Linked DNA regions of Sus scrofa. The protein of the gene in region 3 interacts with the protein of the main gene of each other region in a biochemical or structural test. Links are inferred from orthologs where the notes say so. Each region holds a gene or a part of one and is shown on either strand. Other genes may lie near its edges. The genes, in order: ISG15, TPPP and HDAC6.

Region 1 (6,043 bases), on a different chromosome or scaffold from region 3:
ACCCTTGCGGCTGGGAGATTAGATGTGACCCCTCCTCTCTCTCCTGACCACCCCTTCTCGCCTCTGGGGAGGGGGCACAGCACTGACAACAGGCCAACCCCCCACTTCCAGCCCAAGCAGAAAGCGTTACCTCCCCACGTCCCTATTCTTTTTCTTGGGCTGGTGGGGAAGGGGGTGCGGCAGTCGTGCATTCTCCCTGGATGGAGGCGCACTTGTTTCCAATAAGGGCTTGGGCTTAGGGTGAAGGGGCAGACGGTGAAGGGGCCTCCGGAGCTCGGGCACCGCGAGGTGGGACTGCAGCGGCACCGCAAGAACTTTCCCAGACCTGGCGCCCCACCCGGGGGTCGGCTGTCGCCAAGGGAGCGGGAGCGAGCGCTGCGGAGCGTCTGGGGCTCGTTCCCACGGCCTGGGGCGGGGGGTCTCAGCGGGGCGGCCGGCTTCGCGAGGGGAGGGCCTCCGGAATAGGGGGCAGGGGTCGCGGGGGAGAGGCCCCCAACTCAGGCTTCCAGGAGAATGCGAAGGGGGCTCAGGATCCCAGGGGTCCCGCGGGGGCCCACCTTGCACGAGTACGTGTGCTGCACCGGGTCCACGTTGAGGATCTCCTCCACGGTGCCGGTGAGCACCACGTTCGCCTCCTCCTCCCGCCGCTCCAGCGCGCGCTCGGGGCACGTCCCGTCGGCGCTGGGCAGGGCGCGCGCGGCCACGACCAGGAGCAGCAGCAGCAGCAGCGGCTGCAGCGGGGCCGAGCCGGACGGCCGCAGGCTGGCCATGGCGCTGGCGGAGGACGGCGGAAGGCGGCCGGAGCGAGCGCACGGGCCGGACCGCGCCGCAGACGGGACTGGACTGGACGGGACGCAGCTCCTGGGAGGCGGCGGGAGCGCGGGCAGCGCGGGGGCGGGCCGGGGGCGGGCCCGGGGCAGCACCACCCCCTTCCCGCCCCCCCCGCCCCGTCTGCGCCCGCCCCCGGCCCTCCCGGCGCCCAGCGACCCGCGCCGGCTGCGAACAAAGCGCCGGGACAGCGGCGCCGGGTGGAGGCCGGGCTGCGGAAGGGAGGGGGCCGGTCTGCGTCGGGCCAAGGTGGGTGGTGGGACTGGCCGGGGCGAAGGTGGGCCGGGCGGGGCGGGGGCGGGGGCGGGCCGGAGGGTGATCTCCTTGCTGCGACGCACCCCCACGGACGCCCCTGCCCCGCCCGCGCGGACGTTCTCCACCCCCACTCCCCCGCCAGGAAATGCGGCTGAAATCGGGTTAATGCATAATCTGGAGGCGACGTGACGGGACTTCCAAGGGGCTCCAGGCTGCGCCGGGGCTGGGGCGGCGAGGACTCCCCGGCTGCGGGGAGGGGCTGCCAGATCCGGGGCCCCACCGCCTCTTGAGCCCTGCAGGGCAGTGCCCCGCCCCCAGCAGGAGGGACTGACTGGGGACCCCAGCCCCTCGTTGGAACTGGGGACGGAAGCTCGGCCGGCCCGGGACCCCCTTCCTGCTGGGACCAATGCGGGCCGGGGGCTGCAGCGATTGGTCACAGGGAGTAGAGGCCCGCCCACCTCCCCCTCCCGGTAAGCTCCGGCCCCTCTGCAGGGAGACGGGCTCCCTCTGCCGCCACGAGGCTGCAATCGCGTGTCAGCAGTGGACGGCCGGCCACGCCCCCTCGCCCGCTCCCGGAGCTCCGCTAGGTACCGAAGGTAAGCCGAGAAGGGTATATGCTGAGATCCAGACCCGCTAACTTAGAGCATGACCTAGATGAAGGTGGTGGGGGGCGGGGGGCGGGGAGAGGAGATCCCTTCTGTCTCTCTAGGACTGGGTCCGCCGCGCACACCCTCACGCAAGCCGGCCGTGGATCTCGGAGCCAGAGGCAACGGAGGATGAGCAGCGGAAGAGACCCCTCTGGAGGAGGACGCTACTCCGCCCAGACCCTGGTGGAGGGATTCAAAAGAGGAGGGTGGCGCTGAGGGTGTGTGCTCACACTAAGTTACGGTATGACACAGAGGTGGGGGTGGAGGTGCAGGAAGTGAGGCTGGAGCCAGGAGCACCCCCGCCGATGCACCCTCACCTGCATATCTACACATATATCTGTCACAGGCAGGTCTGCTCCCCCTCCCCCACTCAGCTGTGGACCCCCACAGACCAGGAAGGAGGCTTCTGGGTCTTCAGCCAAATGCCCTGAAGAGCCCGAAAGCAGAGGTCCTCAGAGCCATGCCCAGAGAGGTCCACGTCCTGTGCTCCTGCCTCCCCCATGTCCAGGGCTGACTCAGCCTGGCTCCTGTGGGGCTCACGGGGGAGGCTGGCTTCCCTCACAGCTCACCCAGACAGGCCACAGGGGCTCATGCCCCCACTGCTTCCAGGGGCACTCACCTGGCCAGGCCTTCTCCTCCCTGTGCTATCTGCTGACCCAGATGTGGGGCTGCAGAGCTGACCACGGCACAGCAGGAAGACAAGGATGGGCTCTAGCGGCTGTGCCTCTTTTTATTTCTCTAGAAGGTAATTTCCCAAAGATGTGGGGACACATCTTCGATTTCTCTGGTGTGTGTGGGGCACCATTTTGATCCCACAAGGCTTGTCCCTTAACTTGGCAACTCTAGTCTGGTGACCACCCAGCAACCTCTGGGTCCCCTCATCCCACTCCCTCCTCCATCTCACCTCCTGTCTCACCAAAATGGGTGCAGAATGGAGGACTGACACCGAGATGGTGCTGGCCAGAGAAGAATGGACGCTTTGTTACACTCAATTTTGCCACAGCTTTATTACTAGCACTCGGTGAGGTGCTCCCCTGGCCCTGTCCCGCCCCCCCGCAGGCGCAGATTCATATACACGGTGCACATAGGCTTGAGGTCATACTCCCCCAGCTGGTGCTCATCCTCCATGGGCTTCCCCTCGAAAGTCAGCCAGAACTGGTCAGCTTGCACGCCCTCCTGCTGACACACCTGCTGCTTGAGCTCAGCCACTGTCTGCGTCAGCCAGACCTCATAGGCGTTGCTGCGACCCTTGTCGTTCCTCACCAGGATGCTCAGTGGGTCTCTGAAGCTTTGCACCATCAACAGGACTGTGCTGCCTGGGCCCAGGCCCTGGTTGACCAGGGGCACCCCATCCTGAAGCACATTGCCGGCTGGGTGAGCCAGACGCTGCTGGAAGGCGGGCACACCGATCTCCCGGGCGATCTGCTGCTTCAGGTCCGATGCCATCATGCAGTCCCTCAAGGGCACCAGGATCTCCTTGCCTCCCAGCATCTTCACCTTCAGTTCCCTACCCTGTGGGCGTCACACAGGCTCAGAGACCCTGTCACCAGTCCCAGGGCCACCACATAGTGGGGCAAAAGCTCCTAGAGCCCAGGAGTGCTGCTCCCTCCTCCCTACCCTCCCCACCCTCCAGGAGGGGGACCCCGGGCACTGGAGAGGGCAAGGGGGCATTTCTAGAATGGCCACCACCCACAACCATCATGTCACCTCCCTTCACCAGCTAAGATGCCTCCCTGTGCCGACCCCAAGGGATCTCAGCCCTCTGAGGACACAGACCCTGACGTCAGGAGGAGCCCCATCCCTCCCCTCATGCTTAGGAACCTGGCGGGCCCTGAGCAGCTCTGTCTGCCTGGTACACATAGGTGTTCTGCCCCTGGGAGAGGCCACCTGCCCCACCTGTCAAACCCCCCTCACCATGGCCGTGGGCTTTGGCGACAGGTCCTCTGTGAGCTCTGCTTCGCTGCCTCTGTGCGCTCTGCGTCGCTGCCGCTCAGCTCGCCGCTGCTCTTCAGCCGTGGCGGCTCAGCCCTTTAAAAAGCCTGAGCAGCCGCGTCAGAGGGCGGAGTCCAGGAGCCAACCACCGCGGGAGCCGAAATCGAAATCGGCTTCAGTTTCGGTTTCCTTTTCCCAAGGCAGGCTCCGGAGTGCATGGCAGGAAAAAACAAATAGCAATGACAGGACATTGAGGAAGGGGGTACAGAGTCTCTCCAGCTGCCAGCCAGGCACACGACAGCATCCCCGCCTCCAGAGGTACGTGTTCAGAAACCCCCGGCACGCCCAGTGCCTCACATCCTTTTCACGATGCACAAATAGCATCATAATACCGAGAGCTAACAATTGGCAACTTTCACTTTCCATTTACCAGTTTGCAAAATTAGGAACCTTGGAAATCATTGCCGGGGTTAATTCAGAAATAGCAAAACATAGTGACAGTCCAACCAAGCCAGAGATAACAACCATTGGTTTATGACAATATTTATTCAGGTTTTTTATTCAGATTTTTTAAATGAAAGAGATGTGTCTTTTATTTTCCATGAAAATGAACTCACGAATACTATTGGCAAGGTAAAAAAACTATCTACAAAATGGGAGAAAATATTTGCAAGTCATGTGTCAGTTAAGGGCCTAGTATCCATAATACATAAGGAACGTTTACAACTCAACAACAAAAAGATAAACAACTCATTTAAAAGTTGGGCAAAAGACTTCACAGACAGTTTAAAATAGAAAATACGTAAATGGCCAACAACCACATGAAAAGATGCTCAACATCACTGGCCATCAAGGAAATGCACATCAAAACCACAGCGAGATACCATGTCACACCCACTAGCATGACAATAATAATAACAACGATTAAAAAGAGAACAGTAACAAGTGCTGGTGAAGGTGTGGAGACATTGGAATCCTCATACATTGCTGATGGGAATGAGAAGTGGTGCAGCCACTGTGGAAAACAGTCTAGTCAATCCTCAAAATGTTAAACAGAATTTTCATGTGATTCAGCAATTGCATTTCTGGGCACAGGCCCTAGAGACCCGAAGACAGGTGTTCAAACAAATGCTTGCACAGAAATGTTAACAGCAACTCCGTTCACAGTAGAGGAGTCATAGAAATGGGGTGGGGGGAGGAACCAAATCCATCAGCAGGTGGAGGCCTCACCAAAGTATGGCCCATCCTGGAGTTCCCGTCGTGGTGCAGTGGTTAACGAATCCGACTAGGAACCATGAGGTTGCGGGTTCGGTCCCTGCCCTTGCTCAGTGGGTTAACGATCCAGCGTTGCTGTGAGCTGTGGTGTAGGTTGCAAACGTGGCTCGGATCCTGTGTTGCTGTGGCTCTGGCCTAGGCCGGTCGACTAGCCTGGGAACCTCCATGTGCCGCGAGAGCGGCCAGAGAAATGGCAAAAAGACAAAAAAAAAAAAAAACCAAAAAAACAAAAACAAAGTATGGCCCATCCTTAGGGTGGAACACTCTTCAGCCATAAAAACGAGTGAAGCACTGCCACAGGCTACACTGTGAGGGAACCTTGAAAATATGGTGCTCAGTGAAAGAAGATAGACACAGAAGGTCACATATTGTGTGACTCTGTGGAATGGCCACACGCGGCCAGTCCATGGAGACTCAAAGTTGTCCGGTGGTAGCCAGGGGCTGGGGGAGGGGGGAAGAGTGGCAGCGAAGGACACAGGTCTCCTTTGGGATGGTGAAATGTTTCAGAACTGCATCAAGTGACGGCTGTGCCACACTGTAAATATGCTAAAGGCCACTGAATTACATACTTTAAAGCGGTTAAGTTTATGTTGCATGGAATTCCCGCTGTGGTGCAATGGGATCGACGGTCTTGGGAGCGCTGTGACATGGGTTCCATCCCTGGCCCAGCACGGTGGGTTAAGGACTCGGCGTTGCTCTGAGCTATGGTGTAGGTTGCAGATGCCTCTCGGATCCTGTGTGGCTGTGGCTGTGGTGTAGGCCGGCAGCTGTAGCTCTGATTCGACCCCTAGCCTGGGACGTGAGTGCAGCCCTAAAAAACAAACAAACAAACAAACAAAAACAAAAAAAAAACACCCTCCTAACTACTGTCACCGTTTTGTAACCTGCTTCATTCTTAGATGTGTTTAAACATCTTTCCATAGTAATAGATACTTTTATGCAAGTTGTTTTAGTGTCTGCGTATGTTCCCCACAGCATCAGGAGTCTACTGGAGAATAGGATGCAATCAGGAGTTCCCCTGTGGTTCAGTGTGTTAAGGATTCGGTGTTGTCACTGCAGTGGCCTGGGAACTTCCACATGCTGCAGGCGTGGCCAGAAAAAGAGCA
Region 2 (6,786 bases), on a different chromosome or scaffold from region 3:
CCTGAAAGGCAGACCAGGCAGAGGTTTTGCCCAGGGGTTCCACGACCTGATGGAAAACCCTGGAAAGGAAGAGAGTGTGCTGTGTGGTCCTGGTGCAAGGGCAGAGAACAAACCACCAGGCGCAAGAGAGCCCCCAGTCCGCCCACCCACACGCGACGAGGGTGGCCAGCGGGAGAAGCGGGGACGGAAACCTTTGCTGCAAAAGGGGAGGCTTGACGGGCCAGCCGCACAGAAGAAACGAGGGCTCACTCGGGTACTGATGCAGCAGGAGAGGCACCGTCACGAAGTCTTCGGAAGGCACTGCCGCCCTCGGGGTGGGAAAGGACTCGAAAACCACGGTCCCCGAAGGACAAGGTTCTTAAACGCAGCCGATGAAAGCGAAGCCCTTCTGCTCGTCCAAGGGCACCGCTAAGGGAGTGAGACGGCGGCCGCGGGGTGCACGGGACCCACACTCCAGCACCTGTGAAGAACCCGCCCATCAGCAAGAAAGGGCACCTCCGCAGAGACGAGAAGGGCTGGACGAGGCCTCAGCACATCCGGACGCCCCGCAACCCACGGGCTTGCTGCCCAAGCCCCAAAATGCAGGCGCTGGCGCCCGGCCTCCGGAGAGCTGCCCGCCGAGCAGGGCGCTGCCCGCCAGACGGCCCAGCACCTGGCACCTGCTCTCGTGGTCTCTACGCAACAGAACACCTGCACACGGGGCCCCCAGGGCAGGAAACGACCCCAAGGCCCAGGCCCCGACGACAGATGGGTGGATGGTAGTGGTTCACGGGGTGGAACGCGGCAGCCGGTCAGGGGCTCAGACGGAGGGCCGCACCCACACAGAAGAGCCCTGCTCGGGGACTTGAGAGGCACGGAGATCAAACACCAAGCCAGTTCTGGGGAACAGGCTTAGGTGGCGAAACCACCCTGCAGGTGGAGCCCCTCCCCCGGGGACAGAGGAGGCAGCCGTGACCTCAGTGCTGACGCCCTGGGGAGAAGGGGAAAGCTGGGGCAGGGACCTCGGGCCGTGGAGCACCCAGCACAGCTCGGCGGGTGGGAGGTGAACCCCCTTCCCACAAAGAGAGCGGGGTTCCCAGCCGGCCCCTCGCAGGTTCCAGGCCCACGGCCCACTTACACCCAGAGGCCGGCGACACGAGGCAGTGGGGCGGGTGAGGCCTGAACGGGGTCGCCCAGAGGGCTAGGGGATGCTGGCTTTCAGGATGCTCCCACTGGAGCGAGAAGTGCCCAGGGCAGAGGCCGTGTAGGCTTAATGGGGCCATGGGCTGAGATTCGGGAACTGTAGCCCAAAGTGGGACAGGGACGGGCGGGCGGGGGACACGGTGGGGACATGGGGGCACTGGCAGCAGTAGCAGGAGGCGAGGGGGCAAGAAAAGGCTGGAGGAAAGGCAGAGCCAGTCCCTCCGGCTCACAGATGTCACCAAGAAAAGGCGGAGCGGGTGTGAACGCGCCCGCCCCCGCCCCCGCCCCCACCCGTGAGCTCACCCGCCCTGCCCCCCCACCCCCATGTCCTTACACCCCGTGAAAGCCTTTCCACACTGTCTCACCAAAGAAGGGCGAGCCGTCACACATTCAGACCCTGGGTTACACCTGGGTCTCTCTGCCGCCGCGGTGAAGGGGAAATCGGGAGCCTGAAGACAGGCCGCCTCCCCATCAGGGAGCAGACGTGGGGCTTGCCTCGTCCTTGTGGGAAGCTGCCCCTCGGGGCTGCAGGTCACAGAACCGGCGCCCTCCCCGAGACCCCGGGGGGCGGGGGGCAGCAAGGCCATTTCTTCCCGAGGAGGCGCTGCTGAGCTGGGATGCCCGGTCTGGGGTTTCTGAGGGTGCTGTCGCCCTGGTTACCTCCCCACCAGGAGGGCTACAAGCGGGGAATGAGCTCCCACGGGGGCTGGAACCACATCTGAGCCCCAGACGCAGCTGGGCCCCACCGAGGCAGCCCTGAGCCTTCCCGCCCAGTGAACACCTGCTGCTGAAGGGGTGGGCGGTGGGTGTGTGTTGATTCTCCTGCCAAAGCCCAGCGTCTGCGTGGTCCGGGGTTTGTGGGCTCAGGTGGACTGGGCACAGTGCCCGGCACCCTCAGCTGGCGTGGTTTCTGGACGGCGCCAGGCTGGGCTCAGGGCATGAACCTCACGGCCCAAGGAGGACCTGATACTTCAAGGTGCAGCAGGGCCCCGTCCCTGGTGGCCCCTGTATCCCCAGATGGCATCTTCTACATGCTCCTCCAGCCTCACCAGCAACATCACCAGCTATAAATAGGCCTGGCGCTAAGTCAGCACAGCCTCTCCCCGAGGAAGCTTTTAATTCTCAGCCTCTCCTGCAGGGAGCGGCTCGTTGCCCACCAGGGAGGCCACGTGGACACTGCCTCGGAGGACAGTTTGGCTGCTCAAACGTTTCTCCTAAACCTCAATCAGTGATAAGTGATTTTAATTCTCTACATGAAATTCTCCTGTGATTTGCACATTTCCCACAATGAGCATCTATAACCTTGGATCTAGTAAAAACAGTTTATTTATTGCAACTTCAAAGGATTCACGAAGATCAGCCAAACAACACCTAGGAAATAAGAATAAACCCAACACAGCTTCCTCTAGTCTCCGTCACTTCATCATTCGGAAAAGACAGAGAAGAATTTTTACTGCAGTGTTTAAATGACGGTCCCTTTCTGAGTCTAGATCCTTCTGGAAATCATGAAAGCTCTACAGACCCTTTCCCCAGGAAAACACGCAACTCTCGTGTGGCCTGCACTTTGCAGCCGCTCCCAGGAAATTCACCACACCCCTCCTCCCCTCAGTCATCACAGAGCCCTGCCATCCCTGCCCAGTGCTGGGAACAGGGGCTGGTACCAGAGATGGGAGCCCAGCTAAAGGCACTGCAAGGCGTCTGTCTCACTGCTGCCCCCCATTTCCTGCCTGTTCCAAGCCTCCCCTCTCCAGCCCCACTGCTCCGTCCGGATGCCGTCCCAGTGCCCTGTAGTTCAGGTCAGGGTTTACTGACCCCTCCTAAGCGTCAGGGGCTGGTCTAGGCTCTGGGGAGCGCCACCCCCCACCCCCCCAGTTCACCGTGCCTGAGACTGGCCGTGGGGAGTCCTGGAGGCAGCAGTGGGGGCCGTGGGAGCTAGGTCCTTTCGCCCGCCTCCCCCAGGGACCATGCACGTATCCCATAAATGTCAGCAGAATCAGCCAATAAACACACGGATGGATGACAGCATAGCCAGCTTATCCTAAAAGGTGTCTCATCTTCAGAGAACCCCAAACGCCTATCAAAACAGCAGTCACAGGCAGGGTAGCCGAATGAGTTCACTTCTCACCCATTTCAAGGCTTCATTTACATAACTGAAACCGCAGAATAAAGAGTTTCCCTAGATCCTCCTTCGAAGGCGGGGTTAGGTGTGTGGAAAAAAATAAATTGGCAGCCAACCTCTTTATCTTGATTGCCGGTTCCGTGCCCACATGCGATAAGAAAACATAACACCCCTCGGGGGAAGCTTCTGGATTTGCAAACTGTAGGCCTGACACTCTCACCTGCACCGGCAATGGCGCCGGAGCCCTCGCCAAATGATCACGCGCATTCTGGGCCCGTGGACACAAATGGCCCTCCGTGGCCCTGGATCTCCTAAAATCCATGCTCTATGACAATGGCTTCATTTCAGACCCTCTAAGCCCGCGTTTCCCGCCGTCTCGCCTGCAGCCGACACGCCAGGCCTGGGCATGTGAACGTGTTCATACAGCTGGACACGGAGAGGGAAGGGGCTGGAAGGGCAGTCCTCTGTCGCCTTACGCACGGACGCAAAGAAAGGCGAAAGCGCCTTATTTAGGGCCCAATTATAAACCTGCCCTCTGCATCGCGCGCTGTCTCAGCTCGCTCCCAGCGCGTCCCCAGACCCACGCCCCGACGCGGCTGCAGGATTCCGAGCTCCGCGCGGATAGCTGGCAGCCCCAGGGCGCCCGGCGCACGGACGCGCGGAGCCTCGGGAAAGGGGCGCGGGCCGGCGCCGGGAATGAGTGGTGTGCCCGGCTTGCGGGCGCAGGTGGCCGGAGAAGCAGGGGGCCCTGTGCACCGCGCCTCAGGACGGAGCGGCCCGCGGCCACTTACCTCGGCGATGCGGCGACTGCAGCAGCGGCGCCTCCGCGACTCTCCCGCGCGCGACCGGGCGCCCGGCCTGCTCTCGCGGCACCGCCCCCGGCCCCGCCCCCGCCCCCGCCCCCGCCCTCCGGCCCCGCCTTCCGGCCCGCCCCCGGCTCCCCCTTCCACGCACGTCCTTCCCCACGCCCTACCCGCCCCGCGCTCTCATTGGAGGAGCCCCCTCGGGCCCCCACCCCCGGCTCCACTGACCGGTCCTCACTGGCTCTCACGGCCCCCAGCCCAGGCCCCGCCCCCCAGGCCCGCCCCCCAGGCCCGCCCCTAGCGCTCTCGGCGGCTCCGCCCCCGCCCCCCTCTCGGGACGCCTGCTCGCCGAGGTCGTTTGAGCGCAGCGTCTGCCTTACAAGGCGGATCGGCTCGTGCCCTCCGGGCCACACAGCTCCGCGGGGCGGGGGCAGTGCCTATGCGGCCCCAGCATGCCCTCCCGGACCGTGGACGCGGGAGGACGGATGGGTCTGCGGACAGGCCTGAGTGGGGCGGCCAGGTGCTGGCCTCTTCACAGAGATGCTCGGGCCAACGAGGGGGTCCGCGGTGGCGAGGCTCAGACCCCACGGAGGGGGCGCAGGGTGGGACGGAGTGGGGCCGATGCGCGAGAGTTTGGGGAACAGCAGGACTGTGAGGCGAGCGCCTGGGTGGTGTCGGCCGGTGTCGGGGAAGAGAATCCGTGCCGGGCACCGGAGGCTGTGCAGCCGCGCCTCCTTCCGGGGCGCAAGCGGGAGCTGCGTCCCCATCTGGGTCCCCCGCACCAGCTGGAGGCCTGCCATCTTCCCAAGGACGACGTGTACCCCTGCAGGTTACCTGTGTGAAGGGTGCAGTTCTCAAGGGCTCTTTCCCCCGGCTCCTCCTCGCCTCCTGTACCCTCCCCACCGGCCGCCCCTGCACTCTCAGGATGCCCGGCTTCGGGGAAAAGGGTGGTCTTTAGGTCACTTACAGCTCCACTGCCCTGACCCGGAGCTGGCCAAGGATCTGAGCTCGTCTCCTGGCTGCAAAGCCCCCAGACCTTACACACACACAGACACGCACACTCTACGGCCCATCTAGCTGCAGACCCCCACTCTCCCAGATGCAGAACTAAACCCCCAAACATACATTCAGCCTCTGTGCTCCACCCCGCCTGCAGGGACCCCACGTCCCAAGCCCAGGCTCTGCTCTGCTCTCAGGTCTCTGAGTCACAAGCACCTGCAGCAGCTTCTGACCTAACCTGGGATGCCGTTCAGGCCAGGCAGCCCGGCAAAGGCAGCAGAGGAAGCTGAGGTGCTGCTGTCCAACAGACCGCCAGCCCGGAGGATACCTGGGGAGCCAGGGGCAGGCTGAGCCCCTATCCCCACCGTGGTCCTGGGTCCCAGTGCCTTCCTCTCAACTCCTCTGGTTGCTACTTCTGCTCAACACCAGGTGAAGATGGGCTTCTAATTATCGTTGCCCTGAAAAATCCCATACTCCAGAGACCAGGCAAATCCAAACTCGTGGCGTTGGAAGAACAGGGAAAACGTGAGATCGCCCTGTGGCCAGCTCCTCATGACCCTGACTCTTCAGGTTGAAGCTGGCTGCACCTTCTCGGACCCACAGAGCCCCCAGCGCTGCTGAAGCCGCTGTTAACGATGTGCAGGAAACAATGAAAAACTCCACTCAGTGTTATGTTCCAATCATCGTATTAGCCAAATGGCGACTCTGTTAGTGCATTTTTCCGAACCTGTGCAGGGGCTGTGAGGTGGACCTGGTGATTCTGCCAAGGGTAGAATTGCGCTGGGAGGTGGGCGCCAGGCCTCCGAAGCCGAAACGGTCCAGGACCGGAGTCAGGGGAAGTCCGGCCAGACCTGGCGAGCAGTGGGCCGGCTCCTGGCACACCTGCGCCAGGCAGGAAGGGTGGAGCCACAGCCCTCCGAGGCCCCGCCCCACGGTCCAGACCACCGGAAGCCAGCATGGTGGCCGCTGTCCCTCTCTTGAGGCTGGTTGTCTGCTGATGAACTTGAGCTTTGGTCCTTGGGAGGCGGGCCCTTTCACAGCATAGGGTCAGGTCCGGCCACACTCGGAAAAGCGCCAGAAATAGTGGCATCGGCTCTTACCAGACTGGAAGGGTCGCCTTGCCGTGGGATGGCAGGTTACATCCCGGTTTGCGGGCAGAAGACCCTTCTCCGCCGTGGCTGCCCTTCTGGAGCCCCTTTTGTGGGGGTGACTCTGCACCCTGGTCCTTGGTCCCTGACACGACCTGGACCGTCTCCGTCCACCCTCCAGGTGGGAAAGCCCAGCTCGCGGTTGGCGGGTGCACGGCAGCCACATGGAGACTGGCCTGTGAGCACTGGTAGGACCCTGTGCTTGTTTCTCAGGGTCACAGGAAAAGAACCGCCAGGCCCCGGCAGCCTAAACAGCAGAGACGCTCACAGTCCCAGCGAAAGAGCCAAAGAAGTCCAAAGCCATGGTGGTGACAGGCGTGCTCCCTCAAAAGGCTCCGGTGACCCTGCCTGCCTCCCCCAGCCGGGGGGCCCAGGCGCCCCTGGGCTCGAGGCCTCACAGCTCCAGCCTCGGCCTTTGTCCTCACGTGGCCTTCTCCCACGTCCGCTTTCTCCCCGTGTCTCTGCAAGGGCACACTTGCTGGATTTAGGGCCCATGTGGGGAATCCAGGCTGACCTCGGGTCGAGCCCCCAGTCC
Region 3 (6,786 bases):
GAATCTGACTAGTATCCATGAGGATGCAAGTTCAATCCCTGGCCTCACTCAGTGGGTTAAGGATCCCGTGTTGCACTGAGCTGTGGTGTAGGTTACAGATGCGGCTTGGATCTGGTGTGGCTGTGGCTGTGGTGTAGGCCAGCGGCTACAGCTCCAATTCAACCCTTAGTTAGAACTTCCATGTGCCATGGGTATGGGCTAAAAAGCAAAAAAAAAGAAAGAAAAGAAAGGGGGGAGTTCCCGTCATGGCACAGTGGAAACGAATCCGACTAGGAACCATGAGGTCGCAGGTTCGATCTCTGGCCTCACTCACTGGATTAAGGATCCCTCGTTGCCATGAGCTGTGGTGTAGGTCGCAGTCGCGGCTCGGATCTGGCGTTGCTGTGGCTGTGGCATAGGCCAGCACCTGTACCTCCAATTAGACCCATAGCCTGGGAAGTTCCATATGCCGTGGGTGTGGCCCTAAAAGACAAAAGGCAAAAAGAAAAAAACAGACAAACAAAAAAAGAAAATGGGAATGAAAGAGAGGGTAGGGAAAGGAAATAAGAAGGAAAAGAAAAAAAGAAAGCCATGGGGTGGGAGAGAGTTGGGAGGGCGCATTGTGGGGGGGGGCGCAACTCCCCCCTACCCATACACTTTCTATTCCAGCTTGCGTGCAGAGGTTACCCACTGGAGGGAGCAGACAGGAAGAGCTGTCACCCAAGAAAAACTCCCCTCCCAAGGTCCATTCTGACTCCCCGGCACTATTATCACAATTTCCCAGAGGAGGAAACTGAAAGGAAATAAGAAGGAAAAGAAAAAAAGAAAGGGAAACAAAAAAAGGAAAGGAGGAGTTTCCTGGCGGCCTAGTGGTTAAGGATTTGGCATAGTCACTGTGGCTGTGGCTCAAGATCCATCTCTGGCTTGGGAACTTCTGTGTGCCATGGAAAGGCAAAAGAAAGAAAAGGAAAGAAAAGGGAAGGTGTTCCCGTCATGGCTCAGCAGAAACGAATCTGACTAGCATCCACGAGGACGCAGGTTCAATCCCTTGCCTGGCTCAGTGGGTTAAAGGATTCGGCATTGCACTGAGCTCTGGTGTAGGTCTCAGACACGGCTCCAAACTGGTGTGGCTGTGGCTGTGGCTGTGGTGTAGGCCGGCAGCTACAGCTCCGACTGGACCCCTAGCCTGGGAACCTCCATATGCTGCGAGTGCAGCCCTAAAAAAAGAAGATGAAGAAAAGAAAAGAGAAAGTGAAAGAAAGAAAAGGAAGGAAGAAAATGCCCCAGAGGCCAGTATGTGGCCTGCAAAACCTAAAATATTTACTATCTGGCCCTTTACAGAAAAAGTTTGCCAACCTTTGTTGTACAGAAACCTCCCTTCTGACTATACAAAAAAAGTGGGTCTTGGCCCTTACAAGACTCCCTACTCTTTCACTTTGCAAGCATCACCTCAGAACGTTCCTCTGTGTTTATCACTGCATATACATGTTTTCTCTGGCGTACGTGGAGGTGTAAAGGTCTTTTAGCTGCGACCCTCTTCCACTGGGACAAAAGACACGTTCAGGTAGGAAAAGAGTGGAAGGGAAGACTAGGTTGAAACGGGTTTGCAAGAGTGTCAGAGGGCCCAGCTACTGGGCGGTGGGGCTGTCAATCTGTTGGTTAGTCAGCGATGCTGAACCCCAGACCCCTTATCTCTCCCGCCCCAGCCTACAGCCCGGTAGGAAATGGTGAAGAATGAGAGAGGGAGATTAGGAGGACAAACCGGCCTCCTGCGAGGCTGATATTCAGACATTTAGCCATGGGGTGGGAGAGAGTTGGGAGGGCGCATTGTGGGGGGGGGGCGCAACTCCCCCCTACCCATACACTTTCTATTCCAGCTTGCGTGCAGAGGTTACCCACTGGAGGGAGCAGACAGGAAGAGCTGTCACCCAAGAAAAACTCCCCTCCCAAGGTCCATTCTGACTCCCCGGCACTATTATCACAATTTCCCAGAGGAGGAAACTGAAGCACAGAGTCGTTCAGTAACTTGCCCAAAGTCACATGGCTAAGTCCCATAACCTCAGTTTCCTTATCTGCAAAGCAGCCTTAGTACTGGGAAGTACCTCATAGAACTGTGGCTTACGACAATGCCTGTCACATACAACTTGCTATCGTCACGATCATTCCCCCTTCCATTCCACCATCCATTTTCGCGGCAGACTATTAATAGCTAACATTTGGTGAGTGCTTCCTTGCGTACCACCTTAGTGAATATGAACTCAGAAAATTCTCACATTTGTCATCATCACCACTCCCTTTTTGGCCGCCACCAGCCTCGTCCAATTTCCACCGCGCTCCAGGCCCAGCCACCAGCCCGCCCGCGCTACGTCATCACGGCGCGCCGCGCGGGAAGCCAGGGGGCAGGGAGAAGACGCCCTTTCCTAACTCCCTCGCTTGCTTGCTTGCACTCTTGAGTCACCGCACGGTACAGTTGGCGCGAGTCCGGTGGGCTCCTAAGGTAACTGGACAGGGACAAAGAAACCGCGGTCACGACCGCCAGGGTGACAGCTGTGGCGATTGGGGGAGGGGAGAAGCTTGAGCCCGAGCGCCGCGTCAGGCAGCCGGCGCGCGCTTCACGCAGGCGCGGCACGGCCAGCGTCGCGCACTGACGCGCTGATCCGCCGTTTGTGCGTTCCGCTGGAGGCGCAAGGCCGGCTCTCCCCGGTGTGGGCGGGATCGGGGCGGGCTGTAGAGAGATCTGGCCCAATGGAAAAGAGAGGCTCAGGCACCCGCGGCCCTACAGGTCGCCGAGAAATTGGCGGCGCGCGCCAAGGGCGGAGTTTGAGAAAGGGGCTGCGCCAAGTGAGTGGAGGGATTCGTCAACGTCGACAGCGGGGGCGGGGAGGGGGGGGCGGGTCTGGGGGAGGGGCTCGGAAATGGCTGTAGGGGCTTGGGGAAGCGTTTGGGGTTGGGCCTGGGCAGGGGGTGGAGCCTGGCGGAAGGGAAAGGGCAGTCCCCTGAGGAGCTGGGCTCCTTGAAACGTTAGGGGCGGGATCTAGCCTAGTGGAAGGTGCCGGTCCAGCCCGATAAGGGGTGGAGTTAAGTGGATCGTTAAGGGTGGAGTCGGGGCCCGGGGCTGGGGCTGGCTGAGTGAAAGGGTGGGTGATTATCCTGGGAGATTGGCTGGCCAGGGCAGGTTTGCGAAGGGGTGGGGTCTGGGCGAGGCTTTGAGGAATGAAAGGATCTGGGAATGGGGCTTGATAGAGTGAAAGGGGCGGTGATTAGCTGGCAAGGGCTGGCTTAGATCAGGACTGGGCCAGGGGGTTAATTGCTCTGTGAAAGAGCCAGACCGAAAGGGTAAAGAATAGTGTAAAGGGGTGGAGCCTCGTGGAATGGGCGGGACCAAGTGGAATGGACACCCCCTTGGAGGGAGAGAGCCTTGAGAGAGGCGGAGTTTAGAGGTGGTGGGGAATAGATAGCCTAAGGGATGGAGGCTAGCGTAGGGGGCGGGGCCTGGGAAGGGGCTGGGATGAGGGGTCTTCAGGGCGCTCGGGGCCCCTTCTCAGTCACCTCCATCCCACCCCCCAGAACCGCGTCAGGGGTGAAGTCTCCCCAGCCATGACCTCCACCGGCCAGGATTCCACCACAACCAGGCAGCGAAGAAGTAGGCACAACCCCCACTCCCCCCCACACGACTCCAGCGTCACCTCGGTGAGGCCCCTGACCGGCCCTCTTGAGGGGGAGGGGGAGCAGTGGGCCGTGTACTGGACTCTGACCCTTCTCTCTGTTTGGCAGAAGCGAGGTGTTAAAAAGGGTGCCGGACTCCGCTCCAGCCCCAATCTAGCGGATGTAAAGAAGAAAGGCAGAATGAAGAAGCTTAGCCAAGCAGCCGAGCAAGACCTAATCGTGGGGCTCCAAGGGCTGGTGAGAGGGGGCCTGGCTGCAATGTAGCCTCCTGTGACAATCAAAACCGTGAGGTTCTCCATCCTGGAGAGTGTGGGAGGTTCCCTCTGACTCAGGCTCTCAATGCATCAGCCTTTCCCTTTTTTCTTTTTCCTCACAGGATCTGAACCTGGAGGCCAGGACACCGTCTGGCACTGGCTTGGTGTTGGATGAGCAGCTAAATGAATTCCACTGCCTCTGGGATGACAGGTGAGGCTGGCTTCTCCAGGCCATACTCAAATCACACAAACATACACCCTTAGAGCCCATTAGCAAGAATGAATCCTTTCTTACTCTAGCACATGACCTAGGGAGACGAGGCTCAGGCTCGAATGGGTTCTTTTCATTTAGTCAACACATATCTATTGAGAGCCTACTGTGTGCCCAGGGATGGTGATTACAGATGTATCAGACCAGATAGACAGGGATCCTTCTCCAGGAGCTGACAGGCGATAAGGAGAGCAGGTCATCAAACAGCCGCCAGCAGTGTGAGGTGTTTTCATGAAGAAGGACTCGAGACCAGGGGAGTCAGAAGTGTTTAATAGAGGACCCTAGACTAGCATCCAGGGTTCCCAGGAGGCTTCCTTGAAGAAGGGATGTCTGTGCTGATACAGAAGAGTCACACGTTGCAATCTATCAGCACATCCTTTTGGCTCTATGTTCAGAATCTCACCTCTCCTCTCCGCCTCCATTGCTGCCACCATCATCTCTGACCTAGACTTGCAGAGGCCTCCCACCCTCAGCCCTGCTGCCCATGCTCCCCCTCCACGCCAAAAATATGTATAAGATGATGTTCTCTCTCTTTAAGTCCTTCAAGGGCAAACTGTTGCCCTGAAGGTAAAGTTCACATTCTTCACCCCAGCCTCTTGGCCTCTAAGGTTCCACGTGATCTGGTTCCCTAGCACCTTGGTGACCTCATCAGCCAGTCCTCCCCCTCATTCGCTTTGCTTCGCTTCACCTCACACACACTGGTCCCTTTACTGTGCTTCCAACATGCCAGGCACTCCCTCCCCTCAGGCCTTTACTCTGGCCAATGCCCTTTCCAGAAATTCACTTCCACCTTCTCTCCCAGTTAACAGTCATGTCTCCAGGAGACCCTCAGAGAGGGCTTTGCTTGGCCACTCCCCTTCCCCTGAGCTTCAGATTATTCCTAGCCATGTCATTGTTTGTCTGTTGTTATACTTATGTATTCACCAGTTTAGTATCTATCACCCCTATCCCAGTGGAAGAGTCAGGATGTCAAAAGACTTTACTATTGAAGTTCCCTTCGTGGCTTAGTGGTTAACGAACTCAACTGGGATCCACGAGGATGCGGGTTCGATCCCTGGCCTCGCTCCGTGGGTTAAGGATCCAGCATTGCCGTGAACTGTGGTGTAGGCCGGCAGCTGCAGCTCCAATTCGACCCTTAACCTGGGAACTGCCCTGTGCTGTGGGTGCAGCCCTAAAAAGACCAGAATAAATAGGGTGGTCAGGGGAGGCCTCAGTACGCGAGTGGGGATCTGCAGGAGGTGAGGATGTGAGCTACAGAGAACATCTGGGAGAAGCTTGTCCTGGGCAGGGGGAAGTGCCAGCTGGGACCTACTCAGTTTGGTTGAGGAACACGGAGGAGACCAATGCAGGAGAAGCAGAGTGAGTGGCCGGGGGGCGGGGGAAGCAGGAGGAAATGAGGCTCAGGGAGGTGACGGGGTGGATGGTTAAGGGCCTTCTGGGGCGGGGGAGCACTTTGGCGCTTACCCTGAATGAGATGGGAGCCATGAGAAGGTTTGAGTAGTGGAGGGACGTGATCCGATTTGAGTTTTAACCATTGCAGAGAGAGGGACAAGGACAGGACCCCAGAGGCCGGTGAGGAGGTACCCGGGCGAGAGGTCATGGTAGCAGCGGTGGAGGTGATGAGGAGAGGGGCAGGCTCTGGATCTATTGTGAGAACCGAGCCAGCAGGCGCCAGGGCTGACTCCAGAGTTTCCGGCATCAGCAGCTGTGGACAGGTAGATGGGGAAAGGTGCGCAGGAGCAGACGTGCTCACCAGTGTCATATGTCTGTGTCTCTGTCAACCCAGCTTCCCTGAAGGCCCTGAGCGGCTCCATGCCATCAAGGAGCAGCTGATGCAGGAGGGCCTCCTGGACCGCTGCGTGTCCTTTCAGGTGAGTTCCCCAGCCGACACCCCGTATGGAGGGCAGCAGCTGGCAGGACCCAGGCACAGCCAGAGCCTTATAGTTCTTTATTCCTCATGTCTCCCCAGGCCCGATTCGCCGAAAAGGAGGAGCTTATGTTGGTTCACAGGTGAAGGCTTGGGTGCCTTGTAGGGATGGGGAGGAGGCTGCCCTGGGCCAACCAGGGCAGGCTGGATGCTTTGGCAAGAAATGTCATGGGCTCTGTGGCCTTGGGCAAGTCACTGAGCCTCTCTGAATCTCATTGTTGTCATTGCCTTTATCTTGGGGGCCAGTAAACCTGTGTGAGGTACTTAGAATGGTGCCTGATGTATCATCAGCCCGGATGAACTCTCGTTACTATAATCTGATGTGTAAACAGATGACGGGTATGTGGACAGAGTGATCAGGAGGTTCCTCCAGGGGGCTGCAGGAACCCAGGGTAAGGGGCCTGGTGAGATATGGCTCAAGGGACATTAACTTGGCAGAGAGGGTATCTCAGCTGAGCTTTAAGAAGAGAGAGAGGAGTTCCCTTGGGGCTCAGTGGATTAAGGATCCAGCCTTGTCACTGCAGCTGCTTGGGTGACTGTTGTGGCACGAGTTCAATTCCTGAATCCCTGTGGCCCAGGAACTTCCACATGCTGTGGGTGTGGCCAAAAAAAAAATAACTAAGAGGAGAAAAAGATGGAGTTCCCATCATGGCTCAGCGGTAACGAAACCAACTGGTATCCATGAGGAC

What was found.
Region 1: the proteins of HDAC6 (region 3) and ISG15 form a complex in vitro, tested with the Homo sapiens proteins (3 studies listed by BioGRID). The link is inferred for Sus scrofa from reciprocal best matches to the Homo sapiens genes HDAC6 and ISG15.
Region 2: the proteins of HDAC6 (region 3) and TPPP form a complex in vitro, tested with the Homo sapiens proteins (2 studies listed by BioGRID). The link is inferred for Sus scrofa from reciprocal best matches to the Homo sapiens genes HDAC6 and TPPP.

What each region holds. Positions count from the first base shown.
Region 1 is NC_010448.4:63,360,881-63,366,923, reverse strand, and holds ISG15 (ubiquitin-like protein ISG15), read right to left. Parts: upstream 3,724-6,043; 5' UTR 3,648-3,723; coding exon 3,645-3,647; intron 3,243-3,644; coding exon 2,742-3,242; 3' UTR 2,713-2,741; downstream 1-2,712. Other genes in the region: AGRN (agrin), read right to left, coding at 558-770; uncharacterized protein LOC110261384, read left to right, coding at 769-1,077, 1,793-2,161.
Region 2 is NC_010458.4:79,532,428-79,539,213, reverse strand, and holds the start of TPPP (tubulin polymerization-promoting protein), read right to left. Parts: upstream 4,111-6,786; 5' UTR 4,093-4,110; intron 1-4,092.
Region 3 is NC_010461.5:42,915,586-42,922,371, forward strand, and holds the start of HDAC6 (histone deacetylase 6), read left to right. Parts: upstream 1-2,627; 5' UTR 2,628-2,724; coding exon 2,725-2,820; intron 2,821-2,962; exon of another isoform or gene 2,963-3,116; intron 3,117-3,127; exon of another isoform or gene 3,128-3,154; intron 3,155-3,546; coding exon 3,547-3,669; intron 3,670-3,753; coding exon 3,754-3,882; intron 3,883-4,021; coding exon 4,022-4,110; intron 4,111-5,956; coding exon 5,957-6,041; intron 6,042-6,139; coding exon 6,140-6,180; intron 6,181-6,786.